Elephas maximus indicus: one gene and its partners. The protein of the gene in region 1 interacts with the protein of each later gene in a pairwise test. Links are inferred from orthologs where the notes say so. Each region holds a gene or a part of one and is shown in the gene's direction. Other genes may lie near its edges.

Evidence for each region.
Region 2: the proteins of LZTS2 (region 1) and TRIM29 interact in binary tests that used the Homo sapiens proteins (3 or more experiments, as listed by UniProt). The two-hybrid records come from large-scale screens. The link is inferred for Elephas maximus indicus from reciprocal best matches to the Homo sapiens genes LZTS2 and TRIM29.
Region 3: the proteins of LZTS2 (region 1) and USP2 interact in binary tests that used the Homo sapiens proteins (3 or more experiments, as listed by UniProt). The two-hybrid records come from large-scale screens. The link is inferred for Elephas maximus indicus from reciprocal best matches to the Homo sapiens genes LZTS2 and USP2.
Region 4: the proteins of LZTS2 (region 1) and PQBP1 interact in binary tests that used the Homo sapiens proteins (3 or more experiments, as listed by UniProt). The two-hybrid records come from large-scale screens. The link is inferred for Elephas maximus indicus from reciprocal best matches to the Homo sapiens genes LZTS2 and PQBP1.

What each region holds. Positions count from the first base shown.
Region 1 is NC_064834.1:52,643,504-52,650,833, forward strand, and holds the start of LZTS2 (leucine zipper putative tumor suppressor 2), read left to right. Parts: upstream 1-4,327; 5' UTR 4,328-4,802; intron 4,803-7,330. Other genes in the region: TWNK (twinkle mtDNA helicase), read left to right, coding at 29-170, 1,096-1,386. UniProt on the Homo sapiens protein: Negative regulator of katanin-mediated microtubule severing and release from the centrosome. Required for central spindle formation and the completion of cytokinesis.
Region 2 is NC_064835.1:12,727,049-12,734,725, reverse strand, and holds the start of TRIM29 (tripartite motif-containing protein 29), read left to right. Parts: upstream 1-4,664; 5' UTR 4,665-4,817; coding exon 4,818-5,621; intron 5,622-7,677.
Region 3 is NC_064835.1:11,873,600-11,880,819, reverse strand, and holds the start of USP2 (ubiquitin carboxyl-terminal hydrolase 2), read left to right. Parts: upstream 1-4,202; 5' UTR 4,203-7,220. Other genes in the region: THY1 (thy-1 membrane glycoprotein), read left to right, coding at 946-982, 1,654-1,989, 2,504-2,616. UniProt on the Homo sapiens protein: Hydrolase that deubiquitinates polyubiquitinated target proteins such as MDM2, MDM4 and CCND1. Isoform 1 and isoform 4 possess both ubiquitin-specific peptidase and isopeptidase activities.
Region 4 is NC_064846.1:122,724,091-122,730,972, reverse strand, and holds the start of PQBP1 (polyglutamine-binding protein 1), read left to right. Parts: upstream 1-3,861; 5' UTR 3,862-3,964; exon of another isoform or gene 3,965-4,073; intron 4,074-4,117; exon of another isoform or gene 4,118-4,224; intron 4,225-4,344; 5' UTR 4,345-4,377; coding exon 4,378-4,444; intron 4,445-6,343; coding exon 6,344-6,455; intron 6,456-6,686; coding exon 6,687-6,799; intron 6,800-6,882. Other genes in the region: TIMM17B (mitochondrial import inner membrane translocase subunit Tim17-B), read right to left, coding at 977-1,040, 2,730-2,829, 3,604-3,629. UniProt on the Homo sapiens protein: Intrinsically disordered protein that acts as a scaffold, and which is involved in different processes, such as pre-mRNA splicing, transcription regulation, innate immunity and neuron development.

The sequences.
Region 1 (7,330 bases):
CAGTAACCTCTTTGTTGGGCTGGGGCAGGATTGCAGCTCAAGACTACATCGTTGGGGCCTTCCGGAAGTTTGCTACAGACAATAGCTGCCATGTGACACTGGTCATTCACCCCCGTAAGGAGGATGATGACAAGGAACTGCAAACAGCATCCATTTTTGGCTCAGCCAAAGTGAGTGGCCTTTGGAGGAGCCCAAGCTTTGGGGAGTAAAGCGGGCAGATGTGACCAGGGACAGCCCTCATTCAGGCTTAAATCATTTCCTTGGCTGTCCTTCTGGGGAGGCAGGAGGCAGCTGCCTCTGGGGCCATGACATGAAGAATATATATGCTAGGAATACATGGACTGATAATAGTTGGTCCTTTGCCCTCTTTGTCTTCCTTTAGTGAGGAAACAAGATAGTAATTACAACTCAGAATGATAAAAGCTGCAATTGGCAGCACAGGTATTTGGGGAGCAAAGAGAAAAGCTCTGAGTCAGCCTAGGACATCTGAGGAGACTTCCCAGAGGAGATGTCAACAAAGGTTGGGTTGAGTTTTGACAGAAAATAGGTTAGGTAAATAAATGGGAGGGACTTCAGGGCAGCAAGACCAACCAGATCCTGAAGCTTTCAGGTGTACAATGAGTGCTTATTACATGCCAAGTCTGGGCTGGGCACAGGGAATACAGGGTGAGGAGCACAAACTATGTGCCATCATGGAACAAGGAGCTGGGGAAGAGAATAATGTGGAAGTGGAAAGATGGTGCTTCCTTTATTTAGAGTGGTCAAGAATGGTCTCGCTGGTGAAGTGTGACTTTTAGACTGGGAATGATGAGAAGAAGCTAGGGTTGAATGGGATATCCAGCTGTGGAGAAGTGTTAGAAGCAGAGGGAGCAGCATACACAAAGTCTGAAGACAGCAGGAGCTTATTATCAAGGAAATGAAAGACTCAAGTGGCCCCAGCATCATGGTCAATAGTTGAAAGAGTTGTGGTGATGGGGGAGGTACTTTTCCCTTCTCCCATTCTTGCTACTTCTCCCCGTGCCCCCAGCCTTCCGTTCTGCTTCTCTTATATGTCTTCTCATGCCCGGCTTCCTCCTTCTGCCCCCCAACTCCCAGGCAAGCCAGGAAGCAGACAACGTTCTGATCCTACAGGACAGGAAACTGGTAACTGGGCCAGGGAAACGGTATTTGCAGGTCTCCAAGAACCGCTTTGATGGAGATGTAGGTGTCTTCCCGCTCGAGTTCAACAAGAGCTCCCTCACCTTCTCCGTCCCACCAAAGAGCAAGACTCGACTCAAAAAGATCAAGGACGACAATGGACTAGTGGCCAAAAAGTCCTCTTCTGGCAAAAAGGGGACTGTGCCTCAGAACTCTGAGATGTGCCTGGACCAGATCCCCAACCCCTAGCAGCCAGACACCTGCCAGCCTTCATGGTGAGGGCAGTGCAGAGCTGGACATTGAAATGAGCCTGACAGGACAGGTTGGGGCAAAGACTCCTGGCTTCTGACCACTGACTATGGTGCTGAGCTGTGGGCCCTTCTCAGTCTGAGGGGCCTAGGCTAGGTGGTGTTCCGTAATGAGAGAATTAGCAGGTATCTGAGAACCTACTCTGTACCAGGCTTTGTTCTGGGTCCTCAGGATAGAGCAATGAGCATGACAGATGTGGTCCCCACTTCCATGGGACCTGCATTCTGGTGGGGGAGATGAGGCAAGCAATGAACAAATAAGCAGAAAACATAATTTTAGATAGTCAAAAGCGCTAAAAACACAGCAGTAATGTGATAGTGCTTGCAGGCTAGTTTAAACGGTGGGAAAAGGCATTCTGAGCAGAGAAATTTGAGCGGGGGTCTAACGGACCAGAAGGAGCAAGCCACGTGAACATCAGAAGGAAGATGAGATCCCAGTAGCCCGAGTGTTAAGTACAGAGGCCCTGAGGTGGGAATGATCAAGTTTAAGACAGCGAGGTCATGCCTCTAAACCTGGAGGGGAATGAGGGGTTCCTTGTCAAAACTCCTGCCGAGGTTTTCAGATCCAAGGGGTGATATGGTGGGTGCCAGTTCCTCTGCTCCCTACTCTATGGAGCCTGTCACGAGAGGGCATTTGCTAGAATTGGCATCCTAGGTGCTTGGCCCTGGAATATCAGGGCCCCAAAATTGGGAATCACCTCCTCCTGGATTTCTTAGCAGCAGCCACAGAAGGAAGCTGTGAGCCCAGAGTGTGTGCCCCCTGGACATAGATTCCAGGGTTTGCTGCCTCAAGTAGGCAGTGTTTCTGGAGTAGATACAGCCATGAATTTTTACAGCCTTTTCCAGTTTTACTTAAAAAAAAAAAAAATCCCACTGCCTTTGTTTCTGTGCTTTTTTTAATTTGTCCACCAGGTGTCTCCAGTCTATAACTGGACTCTCCTTTCACTCTGGGGATGGATGGGTCCCTTCACCATTTCCAGCATTTGAGCTGAGGGTTCCCAAGGGAGCTAGGTCACCGAAGGGTGTTCATTCCCCCTACCCCCCTGCCTTGCACCACCACCACCGCCTCTTCTGGGTATCCTTATCCTTAACTTCCTTGAGCTCCATGTGATTCCTGACAGCGCTGTGGATCACTGGGCCACATGCCCAGGCCCTGCCTGACCAGCTGTCCCTCTGATGTGAGCCACTCAGTGGCCTCCCTCGATGTGGGCTCTGCTCAGCATATTCTCTCTTGATGTTTCCCTTGTGTTAGTGCATACCGTGACTCCTGGGGATCCTGTTAAAAATGCAGAACTTAGGCCCTGCTCCCCACCCCCATCCTGCCACACATACATTTCTAATTCTGGAGTTTGGGGAGGGGTACAGGAGTCCTCATTTTTAACAAGCCGTGCAGGAGGTTGTAAAGTAGGCAATCCACAGACCCTGTCAGAACTAGTGTACCTAAATGATGACACTTTCCCACCTCATTTCCCCGGCTATCCTAAAGTTCCAGCTTCCCTTTAGATTTGCCTATTCGTTTTTGAAACAGTGGTGAGAACATAAGGTGTTCTGAAGATGCTGGGAGAAGCCCTTTGTAAGGGTAGGGTGAAAGCTTTCCTGCTCCCTGGAAGCAGGGCTGCCTTGTCAAGTTCTCCCTGTCGACCTAAGGGGGTGCTTCTGGGACCCTGTGGAAGGGTATGGGGTCTGGTCTGCAGAGCATGGGAACAGTGACCACAAATGTCTCCTGGGAAGACCTGGAGCAAAGCTGCTCCAAAGCTGTTCTCTGTGGGACAGAATATGGAAAAGGGTAGCTCCTCCAGGGCCTCCTTTCTTTGAGGGGGTGGGGGGGTGTCTGTCTCCCAGACTGGCTGGAGCCAGGCCTCCCTAATCCCGCAGTAATCATTCCCAGCCGCTGGCTGGTCTAGGCCTCATCCAGGATCTATAACATTGGATGTCAGCCATGCCTTCCAGACTCAGAACACCAGGTCAGTCCTGCCTATGAGGACGTGGGCTTGACATTCTGGTCTCTTAGAAGCCGGATTTGTTCTCAGGAAATCCTCAGAGGTTCCCTCCTGGGAACCTCTGAGGTTTTTGTGGGAATTGGGGATACAGGGATGGATACATACTTGCCTGTTTGTCTTGCCTCACCCTCCTAGCAGACACCCCCACGCAGCAGAAACCAGAATGATGAGGGGGAGGGGAAGATAAATACTGCTAGCCCCACCCCCTACCCAAACATCTTCCACTCCACACCTGCCTTAAACTCCCCATATCAAGATATGGCCCTAAGTAGATACAGGAGCTCCTGGAGTGTAGAAAGCAGTGGAGACCCCCGGGCCCTATTTAAGGTCCCTGGAGGCCCGCTGTCCACGTACCCAGCCAAAGTGGACATTACCTGGGATAGAACCAGCTCTGCCTCCCTCCAGCTAGATGTAAGAATCTCCCTGAGAGCTCAGAGAGAACCTGGTCAAGTGAGGTCCTGTCCTCAGATTGACACTGTGCCTCATACTTGATGAGAGGAAGGGTCTCCAGGGTGAGGGGGCAGCTTTGGCCTTCCAGCAGCTTCCCGACTACTGTGGATGGGTTTGAGAAAATAGGAAACTCACTGGAGTCTCCTACAGCTCAAGTACTCAGGCTGCAAATATGGCCCAGATACCTGCAGACACAGGCTGCTTTGGGTGCCATGGGGGGAGGAAGTCCTGGGTGCCTCCCTGCAATACAGGCCAACTTCCTGTTTGTGCATGTGGGTGGGACTTTATGAGTCTAAGGGAAGCTTGGCCATGCCCCATGGGAGCCAGAACTGGCAGGCCTCCTCACCTGGGCTGACACCTACTCCAGTCAAGAGGGTGGCGCTGGTTCTGCTTGGGCAGCCCCAAGATGAAGTGGGGGGAGGGCTGTTTTGGTGAAACCCGAGACTTCTTTGTCTGTTCCCCAGGGATTTTCCCTGTTTGGGAAGTGGGCTGGGAGTGGACCAGATTGGGCTCCCTATGGAGCAGGGAAGGTGGCCCCGTCAAGCCCTATAGCCAGCTTAGTTAGGCGGCCAGTAGCTTAGCTCTCGGTCACGTGCTGCTCGCCCCTTCCCTAGGTTGAAAGCCAAGTTCAGGAAGCTGGTGAAGTCAGAGGCCAGAGGAGCAGCCTCGGGCCACTGTCCAGCTTCTGCTGGGTACTGGGTTGGCTCTTGAGGGGGTGCCGGGCAGACCACTCCCCTCCCTGGGTCGGGGGCGCGGCCTCAGCCGCCCCGCCCCGCTTCACCAGGCCGGGCCAGGCGGGCTCCCGGAGCCCTGAGCGGGCTTGGAAGCCGGCAGATCTGCCGCGCAGAGGTTCCCCCGCTGGAGCAGGCACCGGACTGGAGCTGGAGCGCGGTGCAGGTGGTGCTGGGTGAGTGGCGGGACTGCGGAGGTGTAGGAACTCCCGCCTCCAGCACATTCCTGCTCCGGAGCGAACTTTCCCCGTCCCGGAAAGCTGAGGGCTGGGGTGAAGAGGGAGGTCCCCACTCCATGGGGGACAGGCAAGGAACTCTGCACAAGGAGGCGAGACAGAAACTTGCACTGAGGGGCTCACACGCGTGCTACAGAGACACGCACGCACGTGGGACACGAACACACGTGCATTCAGAAAAGGAGGTGCCCAGTGGGTTACCCTTGCAGTCTCAGGGACAGCGCCACCGGCCCGCGAGGACCCCCCCCCCCGGGCAGGGCACTCTCCTGTCGCGTACTTGGTAGGGGCGGGGGAGAGGGGCAGCCCGGTGAGCGCCGACGGGGGCGGACCGGGTGGGACGCATCGGGAGGTTCCAGCTTCCCCACCGCAGCCAGGTGAAGACTGAGACGTAAACAGGCGCCGAGCACGTGATTGTGCCATAGCCTTGTGGCTGTACTCCCCCGACTCCTGCCACTTGCAGGGACCCCCTCCCCAGGCCCGGGCGAGCTTACACGGTTCCACAATGGGCAGTATTCCATTCTACGCCTCGACCTTCGAGCGGTGATAAGCCCTCCCCCAGAAATGGGAGCACAACGCCCCCTAGAGCCGGGGTGGCACCGAATTGGAGACTGTTGGGCGGGGGTGGGATTAACTGGGCTCCTCGCCCTTCCTCCCCTGAACATATTCGTAGTGTTCCCATCCCTGAAGGTATGAGGGGGTACTCTCCTTGGTAGCAATGGACAGCTGCCCCCTACCGCCCGGTACTCCCATCCCAGGGAGCAGCTGCTTGAGTGTCTGTGGATCCCCTTCCTACCACCCCATCCCCTCTGACAAGACTGGGAGTTCCTCCCCCGAATGGAGGAACAGAAATCCCACCCATGCAAGAGTGGAAGCCCCCCCACCCCCGCCAGAGAGCGCATGAGTATAAACAGCCCTTCATACCGACTGGGCCTACCCCCTCTAGCAGAAAGGAGTCCAAGCTCTCCCCGAGGGTGGTGGGCAGCGGTCCTCTGTCTCCCTCTCCGCCCCCACGCCGCCCCCCTACACACATGCTGAGCCCAGCTGCTGCTTGAGCTTCTGGGCAGACTGCCGGGAAGGGGTGGAGGCACTTGGTGTCCCTGGAGGCTGGGATCAGGAAAAGGCCAGACAAGGGGGTCTCTTCTGGGGAGGGGGCCTCAGGCTGTTCTTGTGAGGCAAAGGGTCTGGGATGAGCCTGAGGGTAGCTGGGCTGTGATTCCCTTTCCAGGGAAAAAGAAAAACAACCCTTTCCATAGAGCTAAAAATAGAGCTGAGAGCCGGCCAGGGCTGTGGCCTGGAAGGGGGGATGCTCTTTCCTGGGGCGGAGCCGAGCTCTGGCAGGCCTTGGCCCTGGGGGACAGGGAGGCCGTCCTTGCCCAGGGGTGCCAGCATCAGCTGACCTGACCAGGTCATAGAGACCCTTGAGGGAAAATCTGTGTGGAGGAATATGTTTGTAAAACATAATGTGTATGTGTAAAAAGTTGTCTGTGAGCAACTGTGAATAAGACTGTCAATGTCTGAAAGATCGTTAGGAGACTAAGTGTATTTATTTAAGATTTTGACTGGATGTGAAAGACTGCAAAACAAGGCGTGTGACAGTGTGCATCTGCGTGAATTGGCCTCAAAGATATGAGAAGAAGGAACATGGGACCATGCGATGGATGAGACCGTGTGAGATTGTGGATGTGTGAGACTGAATGTGGGGAAGACCGTGTAGGTGTTAAGAAGACTGTTTGTTTGCGAGAGGCTGAGGATTTTTGTGACCCTGGGAAAGGGAGTAGAATGTTGTTTGCCGTGAGGCTGGTGTAGGTTTGGACTGTAGGTTTGGACCGGTTCACCCCAGTGATTGTTGGGGGGCCAGGGGCCGCCTCTGTCCAAGCGTCTTTGCAAAGAGTTCCGAAGGAAGCTTGAGGAGAATGGAGCCGTGCCAGGGACAGACCTAGGCTCGCGAGGAGTGGGGAGTGGGATAGGGACTCCCATGAAGGGAAGGGAGGGAATGTGTGGCTGGGTGTCTTCTCCAAACTGGACGCCAGGTGGCGCCGCCTCCGCAAATCCAAGTGTGCCGCCGGCGACCCACTGCGGGTGGGGCAGGCACCGGCCGAGCCTCGCCCCCAGACTTGTGCTGGGGTGCAGGACCCCGGCAGACCGGGAAGGGGGCATCTGACCCTAGGCCTCCCCGTATGGACTCTAAAGCTGGAGAGTGTGTCTTGGGGAGAGGCTCCGACTAGCGAAGCGGAGGGGGAGGGGCAGCCGCCGCCGCGCCGGGCCCTTTGTGCTCAAACAATGACCAGCTGCCGCCGGGCCCGGGGCCCTGGTTGAGGGGGAGAGGGTGACCCGCTGCCGCCGAGTCCTGAGCCCCCGAGCCCACAGACACTAGTCCTCGGTGGGAGAGAGCCTGGCTCCCGCCGTGCAGGTCCCGCGTGCGCCGGACACGCGTGACGTGAAGGTTCTTGCGCGTGTCCGCGCCCGGG
Region 2 (7,677 bases), on another chromosome or scaffold:
GATAGAGTCTTGCCCAGAGGCAGGGGCATGGACCAGCTGGCCTCTCCCTTCCAGCCCTGGGATTCCAAGGAAGCTGGGGGAGTTTTCTCCTTTTAAGGGGTTTCCTCTTTCATCTGGGGTGATGGAATCAGGTGTCACCAGGCCATAGCAGTGGGTGGGTGAGGCTGCTCCACCCACTGAATCAAGGGAGGCTCCCAGGAGGGGAAATGCTTTGAGATGCCTCAAGATAGAAGCTTGGGAGGAGGCTTGGGGTTGGCTGGGAAGGAAGAAACTAGGGGGTGGGGGGAGGGGTTCGCTGGCAGGGCATTGCGGGTCTGAGGGAACCAAAGGGGAGGGGAAGAATTCTCCTTGTTCTCTAAGAATCCTTCTCTGGAAGCCACACCTACTGGCTCTTCTTACCTCCTGAACCCTGCAAAGGACAGGGTAGAGGTTGGTAGCCAGTCAAATTCCACCATCCCTTGGTATAGGGAGAAATGTCGCAGCAGGAACGCTTTAAGCTAGACCAAAGGAAGAACAGGATAAGATGGGACATGAGTGACTGAGGGGATTCATGGAACCCCTTTCTTTCCAGGCCTTTAAAAATGAAGCATTCCCTCTGCATGGAGGCCTTCCCTCAGCCACAGTGGTGGATGGGGTATGATGGCCTTTTGGGTCTTTTGGCCAGGTTGCAAGTGGCACATAGGCTGTCAGGAAATGCCCGCCTGGGGAATCTTTGCAATTGGATTTGGGGGTGAAGAGGACAGGACCCCAGCAGTTGGGGCTGGGTGTACCAGCTCCCTTGGTGGACACAAATGGCCAATGTGTAGTGTGGGCATGGGGGGAGCTCTGGGAGCATGACCGTCCCTTGGGTAGTCCTCAGCATCCACCCTAGACCTCAGTACTCAACAGATGAAAACCCTTACCTCTACAGTCCAGCTCCAGGAATGCTGGTGGGAATGGCAGTAGTGTTGGGAGGGCTAGGTCAGCCCTGGAAGGAGAATTGTTTCTTTGGTTTGTTCCCCAGAGAAATCCTTTCCTTCCTTTGGAGCTGAGGGACCCCAGTCCAGCCTACCTTCCACCAAGTTTTTGGAGGGAGCAACTCCCAAGAGAGGGAGGGGCTGTGGGCCCGGCACAGAAGGTCCGAAAGACCAGTCAACCAGCATTGGCTAAGAATTCAACTTAACAAATATCTGTTGAATCAAATCAAAACCACATTTTCCGCACGGCCAGGGGAGGATGCTTGGGTGCATGGAAAGTGAGCAGCACCCAGCCTGGTTGGAGAGACAGGCCTCTCTGTCGGGAGGTCCTGGATGTACCCTTCTCTGAGCTGCCCCACCTCCTCACACGTACTATATGTACTGTTTACACCAAATTCATTTACTTGCTGGACTGTGAGCTCCTCAAGGGCCAGACTTGGGACTTATTCATGTCTGTGTGATCAGTCCCGGGCTTAGTGCCTGGCACATAATAGGATGCTCAGTAAACACGTGTGAATGAACAATTAACATCAGGTGGTCTGAGCTAAATGCCTTCTGAGTAGCACCACCCAAAAAACCCATTGCCATTGAGTCGATTCTGATTCATGGCGACCCCATTGGACAGAGTAGAACTGCCTCGCAGGGTTTCCAAGGAGCGGCTGGTGGATTTGAGCAACCAACATTTTGGTTAACAGCCAAGCTCTTAATCACTGTGCCACCAGGGCTCCTCTGAGTAGGACAGACGGTAAATATTATAGGGGTCCAGAGAAGGGAGCTATCCCTGTGGGCTTGGGGCCCAGGGGAAACCTAATGGAAGAGATAAATTAGCCTTGTCTTCATATTTGCTTTGAAATCATTTGTGCCTGTTGCCCTTCTCAGGATAACTGTGGGTGGTATTCTCCAGCAATTATTTGTATCCTCCCTCCTATTATCTATCTGCCTCAACAATTCACCATTCCTCCAGTGGTGTGCTGGAGCCAGCTCCCACTGTCTTCGGAGAGCCCATTGTGTACATACCTTCCTTGTACGCCTCACATTTGTAGCTTGAAATTTCCTGGAGTATTTACACCAGGGAAATTGGCAAGCATTTTTCTCCCTGGAAGAGCTAGTTTTTAAACTTTTGCCAGCACACCACTGCAATCCACTCATTCATCTACTGCCTGTTCATCCCCCTTCCTTTTTTTCCTTCCCTCTCTCTCTCACTTAATCTTCCTTCCTCCCTCCTTCATGTTTATCCAATTCTATAACTGTGTATCTATCATCCATCTATCCATTCATTATTCACATCTATTATCCATCCATTTACCTATTTTCCACTCTTATACCACGCACCCACCCACCCACCCACCCACCCATCCATCCATCCATCCATCCATCCATCCATCCATCCATCCATCCATCCATCACAAATATTTTCTGAGCAGTCTATTCCTAAGACTCAGAATCTTTCCCCAGATTCCTGTCATGAACCCTAAGGACATGCAGAGGCCTCCCAGTGCAGCATCCCAGGTTCAGGGAGCATTAATATTGGATCCATTACCAAAACCCTTCGGTTCTCCTCTTTTGTTCCTTCTTTTCCCCTCAAAATCTATTCTCACAGGCTATGTTCTATCTGGAGAAGATCGATGGGAATAGCCTCCTCATCCAGCAGACCAGGACAATACTTCTCTCTCTCTCTACCTCTCCCTTCTGGCCTGGCTTTTTGAGAAGGGGTTCTGTATCCCAGAAGTTTCCATGAGCTTTTAACCAACTCATCAGTGAATTCAAACAAGAAGGGGCTCCCATGGGGCCTGAGAACAGAGCTGTCAGGTAAGAGGAAAATCCGCATCATGAAGCCATCGCTCCCACCCAAACACCACCCCCACATACCTCCTCTTAAAACTTCTGGCTGCTTTGTGAACCATGCTTGGCTCTGCCCTTTTCCCAAGGGCTGTTATTGCAAAAGGATTAGCTGTTCAGCCTGGTGAGCCAAAGGGGTAGGGCTGCCAGAGCTTGGCCTGGATTCGAGGGGAAGGCAGGGAAACCCACTCCCCTACACAGAGCCCAGAACCTGCCACACCAGCCACACCTACCTTTTGCTCTGCCCTGTTCAGTCCGGCCTGGGAAAGGCACAGCCCTTTAACTTGGGGATGGGTTGGGGGCCGATGTGGGCTTCCAGGGACCACAGCAGCGTGTAGTGCCCCAGAGATGACCTGATGGCACAGCCTGGCAGGAGCTGAGAGGACTGTGCCCAGTGTTCGTACAGGGGGTTGGGGAAAGAAAGGGCCTAGAGCAGTTTTTCTCCTCTTTTTCCCCAGGGTTCTGTATTTACACAATAGTCACATCTGAGCAGTTCACTTGTGAGGTGTTCTGGGTCCCATACTTCTCTGCCTTCCTTTCAGCGGCTGCTGCCTGTAGCCTAGAAGGGGAATTGGTGGTTCAGTGGCAGAATTCTCACCTTCCATGAGAGACACCCCAGTTCAACTTCCGGCCAATGCAACTCCTGTGCGGCCAGCCACCACCCATCTGTCGCCGGAGGCTTGCCTGTGGCTATGGTGCTGGACAGGTTTTAGTGGAGCTTCCAGACTAAGACAGACTGGGAAGAAAGGCTTGGGGATTTACTTCCGAAATTCAGCCAGTGAAACCCTGTGGGTCACAACAGCCCCATCCACAACCGATCATGGGGATGGCGCGGCACCGGGCAGCATTTTGTTCCATTGTGCACGGGGTTGCCGTGCGTCAGGGGCTGAAACGACGGCAGCTAACAACAAAAACAACCTGTGGCCCAGAGAGGGTGAGCATATTTTTTTCTGAGTCATACAGCGAACTTGCTGTGGAGACAGGTGAGAGTCAAGTGTTTGGACTCTGAGGACCAAACCACCTGGCCTCTCATTGCTTGAAAGTCCCCTTATCATGGTTTCCCTGTCTTTGGATCCAAGCAGGTCCTGACCTGCCCTTACAGAAACAACCTAAAGTCTGTGTGCCTCTTGTGGGAGTGGCTGGGATAGGAATGACTTTCAAAAGCCATCTCTTGGCAAGATACTCAGGTCACTCCATGACCCCCTGGCCCATTGGTCCCCTGAAGAAGGGACTTTGGAATCTTAAGGGCCTCGGGGTTCAAATCTCAGCTCTACCACTTGACTTAGGACAGTGAGTATTTTCTTAGAACCTCCATTTTCTTGTCTATTAAATAGGAATAATTGAAAAGATTGTAGTGAGAATCAAATGAGCTCATATATATAAAGTACCGAGAACAAGGTTCAATAATCAGCAACCACTTCACTCCAAAGCCAAATTGAACCCGTCACTCCCCTTAAGGTGATAGGCAACTCCACCACCCAGGGTGGGGAATCTCCGAAATCCAGGCTCGAAAATTACAAGGCGATTTGGCTTGTGCGACTCAATTAATAGCCCATCTGTCCCATGGGCCTCTGTGGACACCTCAGGTCTGCCTCGGGAGCCCCTCAGCCCGGAGAAGCCAGCCCCCCTATAAGGATGGAGACTCCCCCACTTCCCGGATAAGGAGCCAGCACTTCAGACGGAAGCAGCTTGACTGGTTGCTGGGTTGTGGAAAATAATTAAACGGGAAGAAAAAACACTTCTTTAAACAATCAGGTTAGGTATGAATGTGTAGGGCGTGGGCCCCTGGGTAATGAGCCGCTCTGCTGGCTCCAGGAGCCGCCTGCTTCTCCCCAGCCCCCTGCCCCTTCTATCAGGCCTGCCCCTGCTGCTCCGCCCACCCGACTGCTGCTCCTCCCTGTCGCTATAGCTGTGCCTCTCTGCTCTGTGGCTGCCTGCCCCACTCCCCGCCGAGACACGCGCCAAACAGGTCACCCACCTGGAGCCCCAGCAAGCCCGAAACAGACAGCCCAGTGACGTGCCATGGAAGCCGCTGACGCCTCCAGGAGCAACGGGATGGGTCTAGAAGCCAAGGATGCCCGCGGCCCCCCAGGCCTCAGCGGTGGCCTGGAGAGCGGGACCAAGGGGGAAGCCAAGGACGCCAAGACCACCAATGGGCATGGTGGGGAGGCAGGCGAGGGCAAGAGCCTGGGCAGCTCCCTGAAGTCCGGAGAGGGGAAAAGCTCCCTGTTCTTGGGGAACGAGTGGCGGCGACCCATCATCCAGTTTGTTGAGTCCGTGGACGACAAGGGCTCCAACTACTTCAGCATGGACTCCGCGGAAGGCAGGCGGTCCCCCTACGCAGGGCTCCAGCTGGGGGTCACCAAGAAGCCGCCGGTCGCCTTCGCCGACAAGGGGGAGTTGCGCAAGTCCATCTTCTCGGAGGCCCGGAAGCCCACGGTGTCCATCCTGGAGCCGGGGGAGGCGCGGCCGAACAGCTACCCTCGGGCCGACACCAGCATCCTCCTGCGGCCCAAGTCCGGCTCCGAGGAGGTCCTGTGCGACTCGTGCATCGGCAACAAGCAGAAGGCTGTCAAGTCTTGCCTGGTGTGCCAGGCCTCCTTTTGCGAGCTCCACCTCAAGCCTCACCTGGAGGGTGCCGCCTTCCGCGACCACCAGCTGCTGGAGCCCATCCGGGACTTTGAGGCCCGCAAGTGCCCTCTGCATGGGAAGACCATGGAGCTCTTCTGCCAGACCGACCAGACCTGCATCTGCTACCTCTGCATGTTCCAGGAGCACAAGAATCACAGCACTGTGACCGTGGAGGAGGCCAAGGCCGAGAAGGAGGTAACTTGTGGGCCCCTCCAGGCCTCCACGGGGGTGCGGAGCCCCCTCCTGCCTCCCGGTCCCTCAGCCCTGACCTTCTCCTCCGGGTTCTTAGCGTTTGGACTTGAGTCTCCACTGCCCCTGGCTCCTTTAGGAAATCTTTCCTTCCCGTTCACACCTCCCGCTGGGCATCAGAGGTGGCTCCCTAAGGCCTTAGGAGACAGGACCATTTCCTAGATGAGCAAGTAGGGGCTGGGAAGAGGTTGGGGGCTTGACCAAGGTCATAGGATAAATTCAGTCAGATCAGAGAATAAGACTCAATGATGTAGCACTCAGTCCTGGGCTCTGTGTCAGTCTGGGGTGTTTCTTTGTTGTTTTAAGGGAGAGAGAATTTGCCCACCTGAGCAGGCCTGGCCCACAGGGAATAGGTCATGGGTGAGGGAAGATAATGTGAGGAGGAATTTTTGGCCCCTTTTGGCTGGTTTCGGGGTTTGCATTTGCAGTACTGCACCTTCTTGTTGTCTGTCTGATGCCCCAGTGTCTCCTGACGCCCCCATGCACTCCTTCAGCCTTCTCTCAGCGCGGCCCTGTGGGTTTTGTGTATGTGGCTGCATATGGACGTGACTGTGCCTGTAGGTGGACATTATCAATGAGGGCTGGAGTCTGTGTGTGGGGAGGATGTACATATATTTGTGTGAGTGTTTATGTGCCTATTTGGATGTTTGCGTATATTCGTGTATACAATACATAAGTGCGATTGCATGAGCTCTGTGTACGTGATTATGCTTGAGCTGAGATGGGGATGAGCAAGGGCGTGTGGAGGCTTGTGAGGTGTTCAGGGCTGAGGACTCAGCTATGGCTTCTGCCCCTTGCCCCACAGGTGCTGGGCCCGCTCTCACCCACAGCTCTGCAGGTCCCTGCTGTGGGGAGCCTCCCCTGAGGTGAACCCCACTGGCAATGGATGTAGGGGACCGGACTTTCCTCAAAAACTTCTGCACTCTCAGGGTGGGGTAGCACCCCCACCGCTGCCTAGCCTTCCTGACCAGGAGCTTGTTGATATTCTTTCCCCTGTACTCCTTGCCACACCCCGTGGGCAGGGTGGGTTGAGTAAGAGATGGGAACGGACTCCCAGATTCTTCTCCGAAGCCCCATTTGGCTCAGGCAGATGTTCCGAGCCCTCCCCCACCACTGCCTGGCCTGAAACTTCTTACTGGAGGATAGAGAGGTGGCAGGGATACAGAATCCATCCGCAGGGGGACTCCTTGGAACAGTGGCAGCCATCTCATCCATTGCAACCAAGAGAGTACAGAGCCTCAGGCTGGGTTTTGTTGTTGCTGGGTGCCACTGAGTCAACATCCACTCAGCGACTCCATGTGACAGGGTAGAACTGCCCCACAGGGTTTTCTCAGCTGTAATCTTTACAGGAGCAGATCACCAGGTCTTTCTCCCATGAAGCTGCTGGTTGGGTTTGAACCTCCAACCTTTCAGTTAGCAGCCCAGTCCTTACCTTTTGCACCACCAGAGCTCCTTGGAGCCCTGAATTCCAGTCCTGGTTTTGGCCTCTAGTTAACTGTGAAACTATGGACGAGTCCTTCTATTCTCTCAGTTTCCTTTTTCCTGTATGTAAAACCAAAGGTTTGGGCTAGATTGCTGGTTTTCCTTGAACCCCATGGAGCCCTGGGATTCTCGGAAATGTTTTTGAAGCCTCAAGGATGAGGAGAGAGGGCCAAGAGGGGCCAGGAAGGCTGTACTAAGCAGTGCACACCCTTGGTTATCTGTTTTATACACAGAGTTTGGCCCCAAATTTCATCTGAAACAAGGGTATCACCCCATAAGAAAAGCCTGAGTGCCATTGGAGGGGCCATGACGCTATTCAAGGGGGAGGAGGGTCTCCAGCAGCCTTTTCTGGAGATGCCAGGAGCTCGGGGCTTGTTCTGGTACTGGGGCTACTGCAGGAATCAAGGATGTGGTTCTTACCCTTGAGGTCCCATGATGCAGGTCAGGAGGCAGGGCTGAGCCACACAAACAAGAGTGGGAGCCTATGCCCAGTTACGAAGGAGCAGCTGTACATAAACAT
Region 3 (7,220 bases), on another chromosome or scaffold:
CGCAAGCACCAGGCCAGGGCCTTGCGTGTACTCGCAGGCGCACACCCCTCCTGCGGCCTCTGCCCTGCGAGCAGCAATGCGGACGGCTAGGTTATTGCTCTGTGTCACCTCGCTGGGATGTTGGTATAACCTAGGCTGCAAAAACGACAAGACAGAGCGCCTAGGCAGGGAGGCCACTGAAGAGAGGCTGGAAAACTGCAGCCCCAGGAATCCCAGAAAGCTGAGTATTTGGAAGCATCCTTGGTTCATATGCAGTCCAAGAGCACTCTCACTTCCCTCACACACACCCAGGAACACCTCCAGCTCTGTGCCAAGTGCAGGATTATCTGGGAGCACCTAAACCCACGCATACCTGGCATCATCCCTAGCCATGTTGTCTTCTAGAAGGAAGGAAATTAACCTTGGTGGGGCCACTTACCTTGGAGCAGGTATAGTTCCAGATGTTTCTCGTCTTTCTTAATCCCGATCATAACCCTTTGAGTACCTAAGGCTCAGAGCCATTCATTCATTATCTTTTGAGCACCTACTATATGCCAGGAACTGTTCTGGGCATTGGGGATTTTTTTTTTTTTTTCTGAACAAGAACTAAGAAGTCCCTGCCCTCATAGGTAGGACATTTCTGAAGGGGGTTGGGGGTTGTAAAGATAAAGTTTCTTATTCTAAATCACCCAGCTAGTAGGGGCTCATGGCCAGGTATAGACACAGGCCCTTATAGGAGGTATTCTCCCTCTCCACCTCCCCCATCTGCCTGCCGTTTCCCCACAATCCGGTGACAGTGTCACATTCAACGAGGGATGTAGAGGGGGCTTGGATGCCCCACCCATGGACATTATGGCATATCCCCCAGGGGCCCCAGGCTTGGCAGTAAATGTGGGACACTTGCCCCATCTCTTGCTGATTCCCGTCCTGTCCCCACCCCAGATCCAGGGCTGAGCTCCAGGCACCATGAACCCCGCCATCTGCATCGCTCTCCTGCTGACAGGTACTGTGTAAGGCTAAGGCTGGGAGTCCAGCCACACTGGCTTGCTCCTCCTCAGAGAAGCTAGCTTCTTCCTTACAGACAGTGGAGGGGATTGAGGTATAGAGGGCTCTTTTTCGTCCTTAAGTCAGCAATTTCCCCAAACCTAGCTGATCTGAGTGCCTTGGGTGGTTTTTGGAAACACAACTCCCTCAGGCCCACCCCAGCCACTGGATTAAAAAATATATACATATTGCCCACGAGTCTATTCCAACTCATAGCAACCCTAGAGAACATAGTAGAACTGCCCCGCAAGGTTTCCAAGGAGCAGCTGGTGGATTCCAACTGCCGACCTTTTGGTTAGCAGCCTGAGCTCTAAACCACAGCACTACCAGGGCTCCTGCCATTGAATTAGAATCTCCAAATGGGATCCAGGAACCTGGATCTACTCCCAAGACTTCCTGCCCTTGGAACATGCTAGTGGGACCCAGGACTCAAGCAGGCTAGGGAGCGAGGCTAGGGTCTTCAGTGGGGAAGTTGGACTGACCCTTGGGGACCCCTGGGGTGGGAGAAGGGCTCAGAGAGCAGACCCCTGTGACCCCCCTGACTAGGCCCCATCTCTGCTCTTAATGTGGTTAGGAGACCCCCTGCTCCACAGGCTCTTCCTAACTCGGAGGGGGCACTGCTGGTGCCAGTCTTTCAGGTGGCCTGGGGGCAGAAGGTGACAAGCCTGACAGCCTGCCTGGTGAACCAGAGCCTGCGCCTGGACTGCCGCCATGAGAACACCACCACCTTGCCCATCCTGTATGAGTTCAGCGTGACCCGCGAGACCAAGAAACACGTGATCGAAGGCACTTTGGGAGTGCCTGAGCACTCATATCGCACCCGGACCAACCTCACTAGCAAGTATGACATTAAGGTCCTCTACTTAAATGGCTTCACCAACAAGGATGAGGGCACCTATACATGTGAGCTCCGCCTCTCTGGCCAGCCTCTCAGCATCTCCAACAAGAACATCTCAGTCTTCAGAGGTATGGCAAGTACCCAGCAAAACCCACTGAGCTGGAGGAGACAGGCTAGGGAGGGGCAGACTGGTGAGGGCAGCAGGCAGTCCTGGCTGGACTAGAGGGAGAGGGGTCCCACTCCCCTGACGTCCTCCAACTGCTGCCTGGTCCCCTGGGGAACCACTGCCTTCAGCGTGAATGGGGGTCTGAGGAGCTAAGGTGCCAGTCAGAGAGACAGAGTGGTGTTGTAGACACTTCCATCATGACTCTAGGAAAGTCACTTAGCCTCCCCAATCCCCTTCCTCCCCTTCAGGGAAATAGGGACCATAATACCTACTTCCCCACAGTCTTCTTGTGACCATGTCTAGGAAGGATTTATAAGTTGATGTGTGTTCGAAGGAAGGATGATTGGTCCTGTTGATACTTGGTCCCATGATCATCTTGATACCAAGGCAATGCACCTTACTTTGTGCCTGTCCCTACCTAAATGCTGGTCTCTCTTCTTTCCTGTCCTGTCTCCTACCCAATTCTCTCTCCACAGACAAACTGGTCAAGTGTGAGGGCATAAGCCTGCTGGTCCAGAATACTTCATGGCTGCTGCTGCTCCTGCTCTCCCTGCCTCTCCTCCAGGCCATGGATTTCATCTCCCTGTGACGGGTTGTGCCCACAGAGGATACAGGAAGCCACAAGACCTGGTCCAGAGACCCAAGTTCTCTGAGTCGGCTGACCCCCTCCTCCCAGTCCCTCACACACCTCGGGGAGGAATAGGGACCCCACCTCTCATAAGGAACCCCAGTGCTGCATGCCATTATTTACCCACTCCCACTGCCACCCGACCCCCACAGCCCCTCACACCCTCTCTGCACACCACTGGCTGTCTTTTGTACTCTTTGTTCCAGAGCTGCTTCTGTCTGGTTTATTTAGAGTTTATCCTTCCTTTTCTTCTGGAGTTCGTGAAAAGGGAAGCCAGGGTTGGGGAACTAATGGAGAGTGAGAGGATGGGGCAGGGGGGATAGAAAAATAACCAATCCCTGGGGGACCATCCTTGCCCAGTGGGGACCAGAGGCCGTGGAGAGACCTGGGTGAGGAGGGGATGGGGTGTCTGGGGCTGGTACCCGTGTGGTCTATGCTGAGACCATCCCTCAGCAGGCAGGGATGGCACCTGAAGATCCCAGAGGTAAGGACCCCCCCAAGCATTTGTGGCCATCACGTGAGAGAACAGAGCATCTTCCAAAGCATCCTCAACCAAAGCAAAAAAAAAAAAATCCCCTCTTTAAGACCCCGTAGAAATCCCCCAGAGGCCTGGGGCCAGGGGCATAGTTCAGTTAGAAAGCAGATCGCGATGGGAGCAATGCTGATGAGGGGCTGGCTGAAGGGGTAAGAGGCGAGGGCATGTCATCCCTCCCTACCTAAGGAAGCCAGAAATGTGAGCCTACTGTCCTGACCAGCAGTAGAGAAGGTGGCAGAGGAAAACAAGCCCCTCCCTAAGAGCATCCAGAACTCTGACCTGGACCCAAGGAGTCGGGCTGGCTGGAGTCCCAGAGCCCCCCAGAGTCTGGCCCAAGTGTTTCTTCAGGAGGTTCTTTTCTCCCTCCCTCATCAGTGCCAGCCCCTGCTAGCTGGTGCCTGAGCCCCTCAGACAGCCCCCTGCCCCACAGGCCTGGCTTTTCAGGGACCTCTGGGGGCCAGAGGCAGGCCATGGAGTGAGACCCATGGGTGGGACACGCCTTGGGAGGTGAGGTGGCTTTTCCTAACCCCCAGCTCCCCACCAGCAGCCCTGTCCTGTCCTGTGACTGTGTGTAGTGCCACCACAGCTTATGGCATCTCATTGAGGAAAAAGAAAACTGCACAATAAAATCAAGCCTCTGGAATCGACCTCGTGTCCCATCTCTGCTTTGCTCCTCCATCAGCCTAGGCCCGCCTCCCTTTCCTCAGCCAGTGTCTCCATGGGCAGGAGGTCCCACTTGCCACCTTGAAAGTTGGGGAATACTCCCTCTTCCCTGCCTTCCATCAGTTCTTCCTCTCGCCTTGCCTTCTTTCCAACTTCTAGCAGCACCTCAGCCCCCACCTCCACCTCCACCCAGGACCTATGGCTGCATGCTGGGCTTCTTTTCAGGAGAACTAACATTTAATGTTTGCTCAAATAAATGAATGTTCCATCTCTGCTGACTCACCTGGCTAGAACCACAAACTCACCTGCCAATGTATGGGCTGAGCCACATGACACTGACACGAATATGCAAGTGGCTTTGTGCTAACAAGCATTGAGCTGTGTAGGCAGTGTTCTCTTCTCAGACCTGGTTTTCCTTTGGAAATGTCCTCTCAACGTACTTCTTCTTAGAGGGCAAGTACCAGGAGCGTGGAGAGGAAGCATAGGGGGAGGGTGGGGCAGGAAAGGGCATCCATGTCTCCAAGGTCTAAGGGTGAGCATCTCCTTAAATCCAAAAGCAATGGCCAAAGAAAGGACTGAGGACCACCATTCCCTTGGGGGAGGGAGGGAGCGCTAACCCCATCCCTGACCCCCTCCTCTAAAAGTAATGAGTAAAATGTGGATAAGCATTGAAGTCACCCTGGGACTGGGGACTAGAACCGGGCCACAGGGTGGCTCTGAGTTCGAGGTCCTCGTAGGAGTCAGTGAGACAGCCTTCCTGCTTTGCCAGGGACTTTGGAGGGGGAGGGTGGCAACTGCCCAGAGACTGACTCATTTGGTATTTAACACTGGATAGGATGATTCTTTCTGAGCATTTTGCTTAAAGGCCTCAGATCTAAATTTGTGCCACTGGCTCCCACTCTTCTTGCCACCTCCCGTCTATGCCTCTGCCTAGTCAGTGGTCCTATAGTGACCCTGCCCAAAGAACCTGCCCAAAGAGGAAAGGAAAATCCCGTGGTGGAGGAGAACACACTGCCGGTGTGAAAGACTGTCCCTGAGTGAGGTGCCAGTCATTAAGCAGGTGCAATGACTGACACAAGACCCCTCTTATCTGCAATGCTTGGAGCTCGGACTACTCTGGCGAGGAAAGGGGTTTTTTGTTTTTTTAAGTACTTTATTTTATCTTTGTTGTTGAGATCATACACATCAAAAACATACACCAATTCAAGTAATTTTGACATGTTTCATTGACATTGATTACATTCTTCAAGTTGTGCAGCTATTCTCACCTCCTTTTCTGTGTTGTTCCCCCCATTAACGTACTGTCATTGCTCCCCAAGATTCCCATTTAATTTTTCAAGTTACTGTTGTCAATTTGATCCCGTGTACATAGATTTTTTTTTTTTTACATAGATCTTAAAAGAGCATAATGCTCAAGGCAGACATTCTTTACTAGTCAAGCTAAACGATTGTTTGGTTTTAAGACATCAGGGGCTATTTTCCACCTTTTGTTTTGTTTTGTTTCCACTTTTTGGCTATTGTGAACAGTGCTGCAATGAACATTGTTGTAGAGTCTCTGCTTTAAAATCTTTCGGGTATATAGCTAAGAGTGGAATTGCTGGGTCATACGGTAGTTTGGAAACTCTGGTGGCATAGTGGTTAAGAGCTACAGCTGCTAACCAAAAGGTCGGCAGTTCAAATCCATCAGCTGCTCCTTGGAAACCCTCTGGGGCAGTTCTACTCTGTCCCATAGGGTTGACTACGAATCGAATCTACTCGATGGCAACAGGTTTGGTTCGTTTTACGGTTGTTCCAGTTTTAGTTTTTTGAGAAGCCGTCTGTTTTCTACAGTGGCTATATCATTTTGCATTCCCACTAGCAATGATTCCAATCTCCCACATCCTCACCAACATTTATTATTTTATGTTTTTTATTTTTATCTTAGCCACCCTAGTGGAAGTGAAATGGTACTTCACTGTGGTTTTAATTTGCGTCTGTCTGATGGCTAATGACGTTGAGCATCTTTTCATGTGTTTGGTGGCCATTTGCTGAGATGTCTATTCAACTCCTTTGCCCACTTTGCCCTTTGCCCATTTTATGATTGAGTTGTGTTTTTGTTGTTGTCGAAGTTTTATGTATTTTTTGGTTATTAGGTTCTTGTTGGTATATGGTTTCCAAAAATATTCTCCCAGTTGGTAGCTTATCTTTTCACTTTTTTAGTAAAGCCTTTTGCTGAACAAAAGTTTTTAATTTTTGAGGTCCCATTTATTTATTTTGTCTTTTGCTTTTGTTACTGTATCAGAAAATCCATTGTTAAAAGCTAGGCCTGACAGCATTGCCCCTGCTTTTTTTCCTAAGGATTTTAAGGTTTCACTTTGCATATTTAGGTCCTTAATCCATTTTGAATTTTTGTGTACAGCGTGAGGCATGGTTCTTGTTTCTTTTTTCTGCGTGTGGAAACCCAGTTTTCCCAGCACCATTTATTGAAGAGACTCTACTTTCCCCGTTGAAAGGACTTAGCACCCTTGTCAAAAATCAGTTGACCATAGATGTGTGGGTTTATTTCTGAACTCTCAATTCTATTGCATTGGTCTATGTGTCTGTGTGCTCTGGCTAAGACTTCTAATACAATATTGAATAGAAATGATGAGAGCAGGCACCTTGTTTTGTTCCTGATTCCAAGGATAAAACTCTCAGTCCTTTTCCATTAAGTATGATGTTGTCCCTTGGAATTCATATATGCCCTGAATCATATTGAGGAATTTCCCTTCTATTTGAATCTTCTTGAGGGTTTTCATCAAGAATACCCATTGGATTTTATCAAATGCCTTTTCTGCATTCATAGAGATGATTATGTGTCTCTTTTGTTCTACTGCTGTGGTGTATTACGTTGATTGATTTTCTAATTGTAAAAAGGGCTTGTGGAAGTCAGAGGTCCTCTAACTTCATGAGCGGGGAGGAGAATCATTATCAGGCTCAACAGCCCAAGGTTGATTAATATGAGATGGAAGTCAAACATGCCTCCACTCTCCAAACTTCTACCAATTCTGACATTAGCCATCCCTCCCACAGAACTCTCTACTTCTTTGCTGGGTTCAATAATTTGTTGCAATGGCACACAGAACTCACAGATAACAATTGTTTATGGTGTTTATTAGGGTAGTAACAGGTTACCACTTGGAATCAGGATCAACAGGTTACAACTCAGGATCAAGAACAGAGAGCACGTAGGCAAATTCTCCCTTCTTCAGGGCAAGACAGTTCTCTCAGTTACTCTCAGCCATGCCGGGCTCATCTCAGCCCCCTGAAGGCAAGCTTTTCTTGGCCCCCTCAGGATAGGCTTTCTCTTTTGGCGCTCAGACCTCAGGCCCTTGGCCTGGCCTCTGAC
Region 4 (6,882 bases), on another chromosome or scaffold:
ACACAGTTGGAACGGTGATCTTGCTTTCAGGGAGGACTAACTAAACCAATCTTTTGCCACTGAGTCCATTCCGACTCATAGCAACCCTACAGGAGAAAGTAGAACTGCCCCATAGGGTTTCCAAGGCTGTGCATCTTTACGGAAGCAGACTGCCATCTTTCTCCCACAGAGCCACTGGTGGGTTCAAACGACAGGCCTTTCAGTTAGCAGCTGAACTCTTAACCACTGCACCACCAGGGAGAAGGGCACAGGTTAGAAAAGCCAGGTAATGAAAATGATAGTTAAAATGTTGACTGAGGGCTTACTGTGTGTCAGGTCCTATTCTTGGTACCGTACGTTATTTGACTTCTAAAATTTTTAATTAGTTAATATTAAATTAATATTAATTGTTAGATTATTAATAAAGTTAATAATGAAATATTAAATTAGTTAATATTAAAGTGCTTAGTACAGCGATCTTAATAACTTCATATATACTCTGTAAATGTTTGACCCATAAATTACAAAAGTACTGAGGTGGTTACTGTTATGATCATCCCATGTTAAAGAAGTTCAGAGAGGTTAAGCCACTAGACCAAGGTCGCACAGCAGGAAAGAGCCAGGGCCTGGATTTAAACTCCAGAACCCACACTCTCGCCCCTCTACTAAATTGTTGGGAAATGTCACCTCCCCCCACCCCAGGAAACCCTGGTGGCATAGCAGTTAAGTGCTACGGCTGCTAACCAAAACGTTGGCAGTTCAAATCCACCAGGCACTCCTTGGAAACTTTATGGGGCAGTTCTACTCTGTCCTACAGGGTCACTATGAGTTGGAATTGACTCGACGACAGCAAGTCTCTCTCTCCCTCTCCCCCCAAGAAATCCCAGGCAGAGTTGGGGCTGGAATCTGGGCACCAACATGATATCTAGACCCAAAGGGGCAACCCTCTCTCCCACCAACTTTGCCATCATATCTCATGTCTCCTGAAGCCTCTCACCTCCAATCTGGGGGGCTCGAATCCTCACAGCGCTGATGCTACCTCTCAACCGGTGCTGAATTCCCTGGGGGAAAGTGAGGAGGGGGGGAATCAGGGCAGGGGTAAGGCCACTGGCAGATAGGATTTCTGGCTTTTAAAGGAGGAATGGGGATGGGAGACCCGTTATGGGTATCAGGGCAGAGATATGGAGCAGCCAAGAACTAGGAGGCTGGGGAACACCCCAACATGACTGCTTTCAGAGCTGGGTTGAGAAATTCTAATTCATTCATTCATTCATGCAATAAATGATTATCGAGCACCTACTATGTGCCAGGCACCATGCTATATGCAGGGATACAACAGTGAGCAAGGGAGACCTGGTCCCTGCCCTTTCAAAGTTCATGTTATAGTGGAATAGTCAATATTGAGTAAGGATACAAACCAATAAACAAAACAGTTCCAGACGGCAATAAGCACTCTAGAGGGAACAGGATGAAGATAGATGATAGTGGCTCAGTGGTCACAAAAAGCCTCTTTAAGGAGGGGGCATTTGTGCTTGACCTTGCTGATGAGAAGGAAACTTGGGCAAAGATCTGGGAAAGTGTTCCAGACTAAGGTGACAGCAAGTTCAAAGGCTGTGAGGCAGGCATGAGACTGGGGTGTTGGAGGAAGAGCAAGGAGGTCACAGAGGGTGAAGCAGAGTGGGCAAGGAGGAGAGTGGTAGAAGATGGGCTATGAAAGGTAGGCAGTTAGATTTGTAAGGCATGGTAAGGAGTTTAGCTTTTAAGAGTAACAGGAAGCTATTAGAGAATTATAAGGTGGGACGAGGATCTAATTTCCCTTTTTAAGGGACCCTTCTGGCTGATGTGTTAAGGACAGGTTCTAAGGGGGTAAAGGCAGAAGCTGAGAGATGAGTGAGAAGGCTACAGCAATCATGGGGACTCAGGCCAGAATGGTGGCAGCAGAGGTGGTGAGAAGTTGCTGATTTGGGAATACATGTTTTGGAGGCTGACTACACAGGTTTTGCTTATGGATTAGATGCATGATGGGCTGTGAGGGAAAAAGAGGCGTCAAGAATGACTCCAAGGTTTTTGGCCTAAACAACTAGAAAGAGGGAATTATAATTCCCCGAGATGATGTTGACGGATGAGATTAGGTCTGGGAAGGAATCGGGAGCTCAGTTTTGACTTGTTGAGTTTAAGATTAGTGATCTAAGTAGCAATGTCAAGCAGGCAGTTGGGTATGTGGGTCTAGAGTTGAGGGGAGAGACAGAGCTAGATACATAAATTGCACAGACCTTGGCAAATGGATAGCATTTAAAGCCGTGACATTTGATTAGATCTCCTGGGGTCGGGGGTTGTTGTCAGGGAAAGAAGGTAATTGACTGTGTTAAAAAGATTTTCTCAACTTTGGCGCTGTCCTTCGCTCTGTCAGTTAAACTTCTATCACCTTCCCCTAGCCAGGCTTCTGACGTAGAATCTCCCTCCACGTAAAATTTGTCTGGCTTTGTACACACATCTAGGATTTGATGATGACTGTTTTGACAAGACAACATTTCCACAGAGGAGCCCCAGTTGGGGGTATGGGGGACAGAGGCCACATCTGCAGTTCCCCCAAGACCCTATATCTGGAAGCCAGGCCTGGCACATAATAGGTGAGCAGGTATCAGGATGAAAAAGTGCATGTGACTAGCAGCTACATGCAGTTTTCCGAGCAGTATCCATGTGGGCTGGTGAGCCAACCCCCACACCACCCAGGCAAGGCCAGGGCTTACAACAGGGGCATTGCGGAAGCCTTTGATGGCCTGGAAGACTCCACCACCGATGACACCCATGGTGAAGGCTCCACCGCAATCATCCACAATGCGCCATGGGCTGCAAGAGGGAAAGGGAGGAAGAGGTTAACGTGAGCCCTCCCCTATGCCCTAACGCAGAGACTCTTGCCAACGTCTTTCTTCGCCCTACCTGCCCCCTTCCTTCCTTCCTCTTAAGGAATCAGTCAATTGCTTTACCAAAAATGAAATGATACATGCAAAGATTTGGGACATTTAAATATGTGCTATAGGAGTGTTGGCTAGCTAGTACTGTTATTAAAGCAGGTAAGTCGCACTCCCTTCTCCAACAATGGGCGTGTCCAATCGAGCCCCGCCCCCTTCCCCCCATTTAACCATTTAATCAAGCACGATTAGAAAAACCCAAGAGCAGACGGTGGGGAGGATCCAGCACTCCCTCCTTGCCAACAATAGGCTCATTCAGGCCCCGCCCTCCATTACCTAAAGAGACCTGGGGAAAACCACACGTGTAACCCTGCAGATTTCTGCTTGGTGTCGCACCACCACCCCCCCGCCCCGGCTGAATGGATTCGACCAGCGTGTCACTTTTCGTTAACAAAGAGGTGCTGGGAAATACAAAGTCAGGGGCAACGGGAAGTGGTTCGTCCTGTACCGCACGTCCTCCAGGCGCACAGTTGCTGCTCCTCTTAACCAAGTCTGGGTGGGCGGAACCAAGCGGGGAAGCGGAAAGAGATAAGTTTCTAAGTCTCCAGAGTCTGTGAGGTGGAGCTGCGTGGCCGGTGCCTCTCCCGCCCGCATCCCACGGTCGGCTACGGCCCCGCAGCAACAGTCCCTATGCCTGTGCCCATCACCATACCAAGGCTCCCGAGCGTACTCCTCCATGGCGCCGGCGTTCGGCCGCGCAGTCAGGCCAGATCCGGCCGAGCCACGCCCCCAGTGCAAACGCACACAGGCGCGCGAGCTTTCCACCTATTCCAAGACAAGAGTTGAGTCGCTTCACCACACGTAAGTCCAAAGGCACACTCTCATTGGCCACCTCGGTTGCGTCATCTGTTCTCCGCAGCCTCCGAGCGTCTCCCAGTTACTTAAAGGCTCGGGGAGAAAAGGCCTCCGTCTGTGCTTTGGGAGGAGCTAGTCGCGTGGTTCCGGTGATCATAGCGGCGGCGAGAGGGAGGCGGCCTGTCTGACAGCCTTCCACTGCCCGCGAGACTGTATTGGTAACACCAGGGTGGACGCATTCTTTTGGAGCTGGAGGAGGTTCTGCACTTTGATCCCCCATTTCAGCGCTTTGGTTCCTCCCACCCGGCAGTCTTTGGGGGACGTTGGGTGAGCCCATTTCTGGGGCGCGGGGGAGACACGCTTGACTCCTTTGGCGCTGGGCGGAGCCTGGGCCTGGAAGAGGAACTAGGGACGCGAGCACTAGAGGGTGGATGAGAGTTTGGTGATATTGCCACTTATCTCCTCCACCTTTTAGCGCGTAGGTTTCGTCTGCCCAACTACTGCAGATGGGGAGGTGGGGGTCAGATGAGTATATGCTTGGGGGGAGGCGCTTGGTTACAGGGTCTGGATTCTAATTCTCATCTGATCTGATTTTTAGTCCGTCTGCCTCTAGGTTCGTCTGCTACCCGCTATGCCATTGCCCGTGGCGCTGCAGACCCGCTTGGCCAAGAGAGGCATCCTCAAACATCTGGAGCCTGGTGAGAGCTAAGAGCAGATGAGCCCACCATGTGCCAAGCTTGACAGGCACTTTGTTGTTGATATTGACACTCGATACCTAGTATGAGCCTACTGTGAGCCAAGCAGTGGGATGAAAGGCGTTTTATTGTTAATAATATGGATTCCTGACATCCACTCCTACTATGTGCCAAGGGGGATAGATATTTTAGCCGCCTTAATAATAGTGACAGCTGATGCCTGTTTTGGTTTATTGCATTCCAGGTTCCATGGGGTGATAACAAAGTATCTAATAGTAAGGATAACTGACATCTCCTGCAGTCTCCTGTGTGCCAAATACAGTGTTGATGTTGATACTTTGTTGTTCACAATACTGATAGGTAACATGAACTTCAGGCCTACTGTTGTGCCAGCCACTATACTGATAATATATACCTGTATTATTCACCTTATCAGTAAGTAACATGTATTTTGGGCCTAAGGAGCCCTGGTGGTACAGTGGTTAAGAGCTTGGCAGCTAACCAAAAGGTCAACAGTTCTAATCCACCAGCTGCTCTTTGGAAACCCCATGGGGCAGTTCTGCTCTGTCCTGTAGGGTCGCTATGAATCGGACTCCACTTGATGGCAGTGGGTTTTTTGGGTTTAAGTGCCTGGTGGAGCCCTCGTGGCACAGTGGTTAAGTACTTTGCTGCTAATTGAAAGGTCGGTGGTTCGAATCCACCAGCTGCTCCTTGGGAGAAAGATGTGGCAGTCTGCTTCCATAAAGATTTACAGCCCTGGAAACCCTATGGGGCAGTTCTTCCTTGTCCTGTAGGGTTGCTATGAGTTGGAATCCACTCGATGGCAATGGGTTTGTTTATTTTGTTTTGTTTTGTAAGTGCCTGGCATACACATTACTGTTCACAGTATAAAATAAGGGATAGCAAGAATCTTATCATTTAGGCCTACTGTGCTGCTGCTGTTAATATTTATACTTTATTGTTAATAATATTGAAAGCTGGCATTAATTTTGGCCTACGGTGTGCCAGGCACTGAAAAATACTTCTTATTGCTCATCATATTGAAATTTACATTAACTATAGGTCTACTCTGTGCCAGGCATAGACCTTATGGTTAATAATACTGATAATGATCCTTGATATAATTTTAAGCATATTGAGAATCAGGTCTTGTCCTGATGACATACATCTGAATAACAATACTAATGACAAGAGCTGACAACTATTTTGGACATACTATTTGACAGGTGCTATGCTCTTGCTGACATATACATTTCATTGTTAATTATATCCATAGCTGAAATCTGTTATAGGCCTATTGAGGGCCAGGCACTGAGCTGATAGTATACACCCTTTTTATTCTATTAACTGACATCTATTGCAGGCCTATGTGTCAGGCCCTTTGCCAATACTACACCTTGCCACTCAGGAACTGAATGGCTTCAGAACAATGTTTGGATAAATCCCTTGCTATTCAAGATACAGGGATCAAAAATCCTGTATTTGCCAAGCTTGAGAGCTGAAGAGATTTTCAGAAAAACCCCTTGCTGTCGAACTCATTTTATTCAAATAGATTTGGATAACACAGCGTCACATACTATCTGAACTCAGGCACTGAATAGATATGGATAAGTTTTTTTGATGAATCCCTGTCCAAATTCAGAAATCAGATAGGTTCAGAGAACAGTATGACTTACCATTGGAACCCAGAAACAATAGATTTGGATATTTTTTTTTGATATTCAGATATTTGAATTTTGCAAGCAGTATTTTTATCTGCTTCCTGGCATACACATGGGCATGTGCCTTCCGTGTGTGGTTTGTGACTGGCCAAGTGCATAAATGTGAGCATATGTGTCCCTCCAGGCCTTGAGACAGGATGAGAATTCCCCTTAACTGTTACCCCCCACCTTGTCCTGCTAGAGCCAGAGGAAGAGATCATTGCTGAGGACTATGATGATGATCCTGTGGACTATGAGGCCACCCGGCTGGAAGGCCTGCCACCAAGCTGGTACAAGGTGTTTGACCCTTCCTGGTGAGTCTGGGGACCTGGGGGGGGGGTAAGGGGGAATAACTTGTACCCTTACCCTTCCTGTGCTATCCTTGGCCTTGGGGTTTATAGGAGACACAAGGGACGAGATCTGGGGGTCCTCCTTGTGGAGTCCTGACAGGGGCAGGTATGGGCAGAGATTGGGGAGACAAAGGAGAGGACATCTGTACTGACACTCTTCCCCTCCCTCCCTCCCTTGCTCCTATTGCCCCACAGCGGGCTCCCTTACTACTGGAATGTGGACACAGACCTCGTGTCCTGGCTCTCCCCACATGACCCCAACTCTGTCGTTACCAAGTCTGCCAAGAAGCTCAGGAGCAGTAATGTAGGTGAGTTGGCAGATCCAAGGGTGCCTGGAGCAATTCTAGCAGTTTTCAGAAAGGGGTCAGGTAAATTATAGTGGATCAAGGCG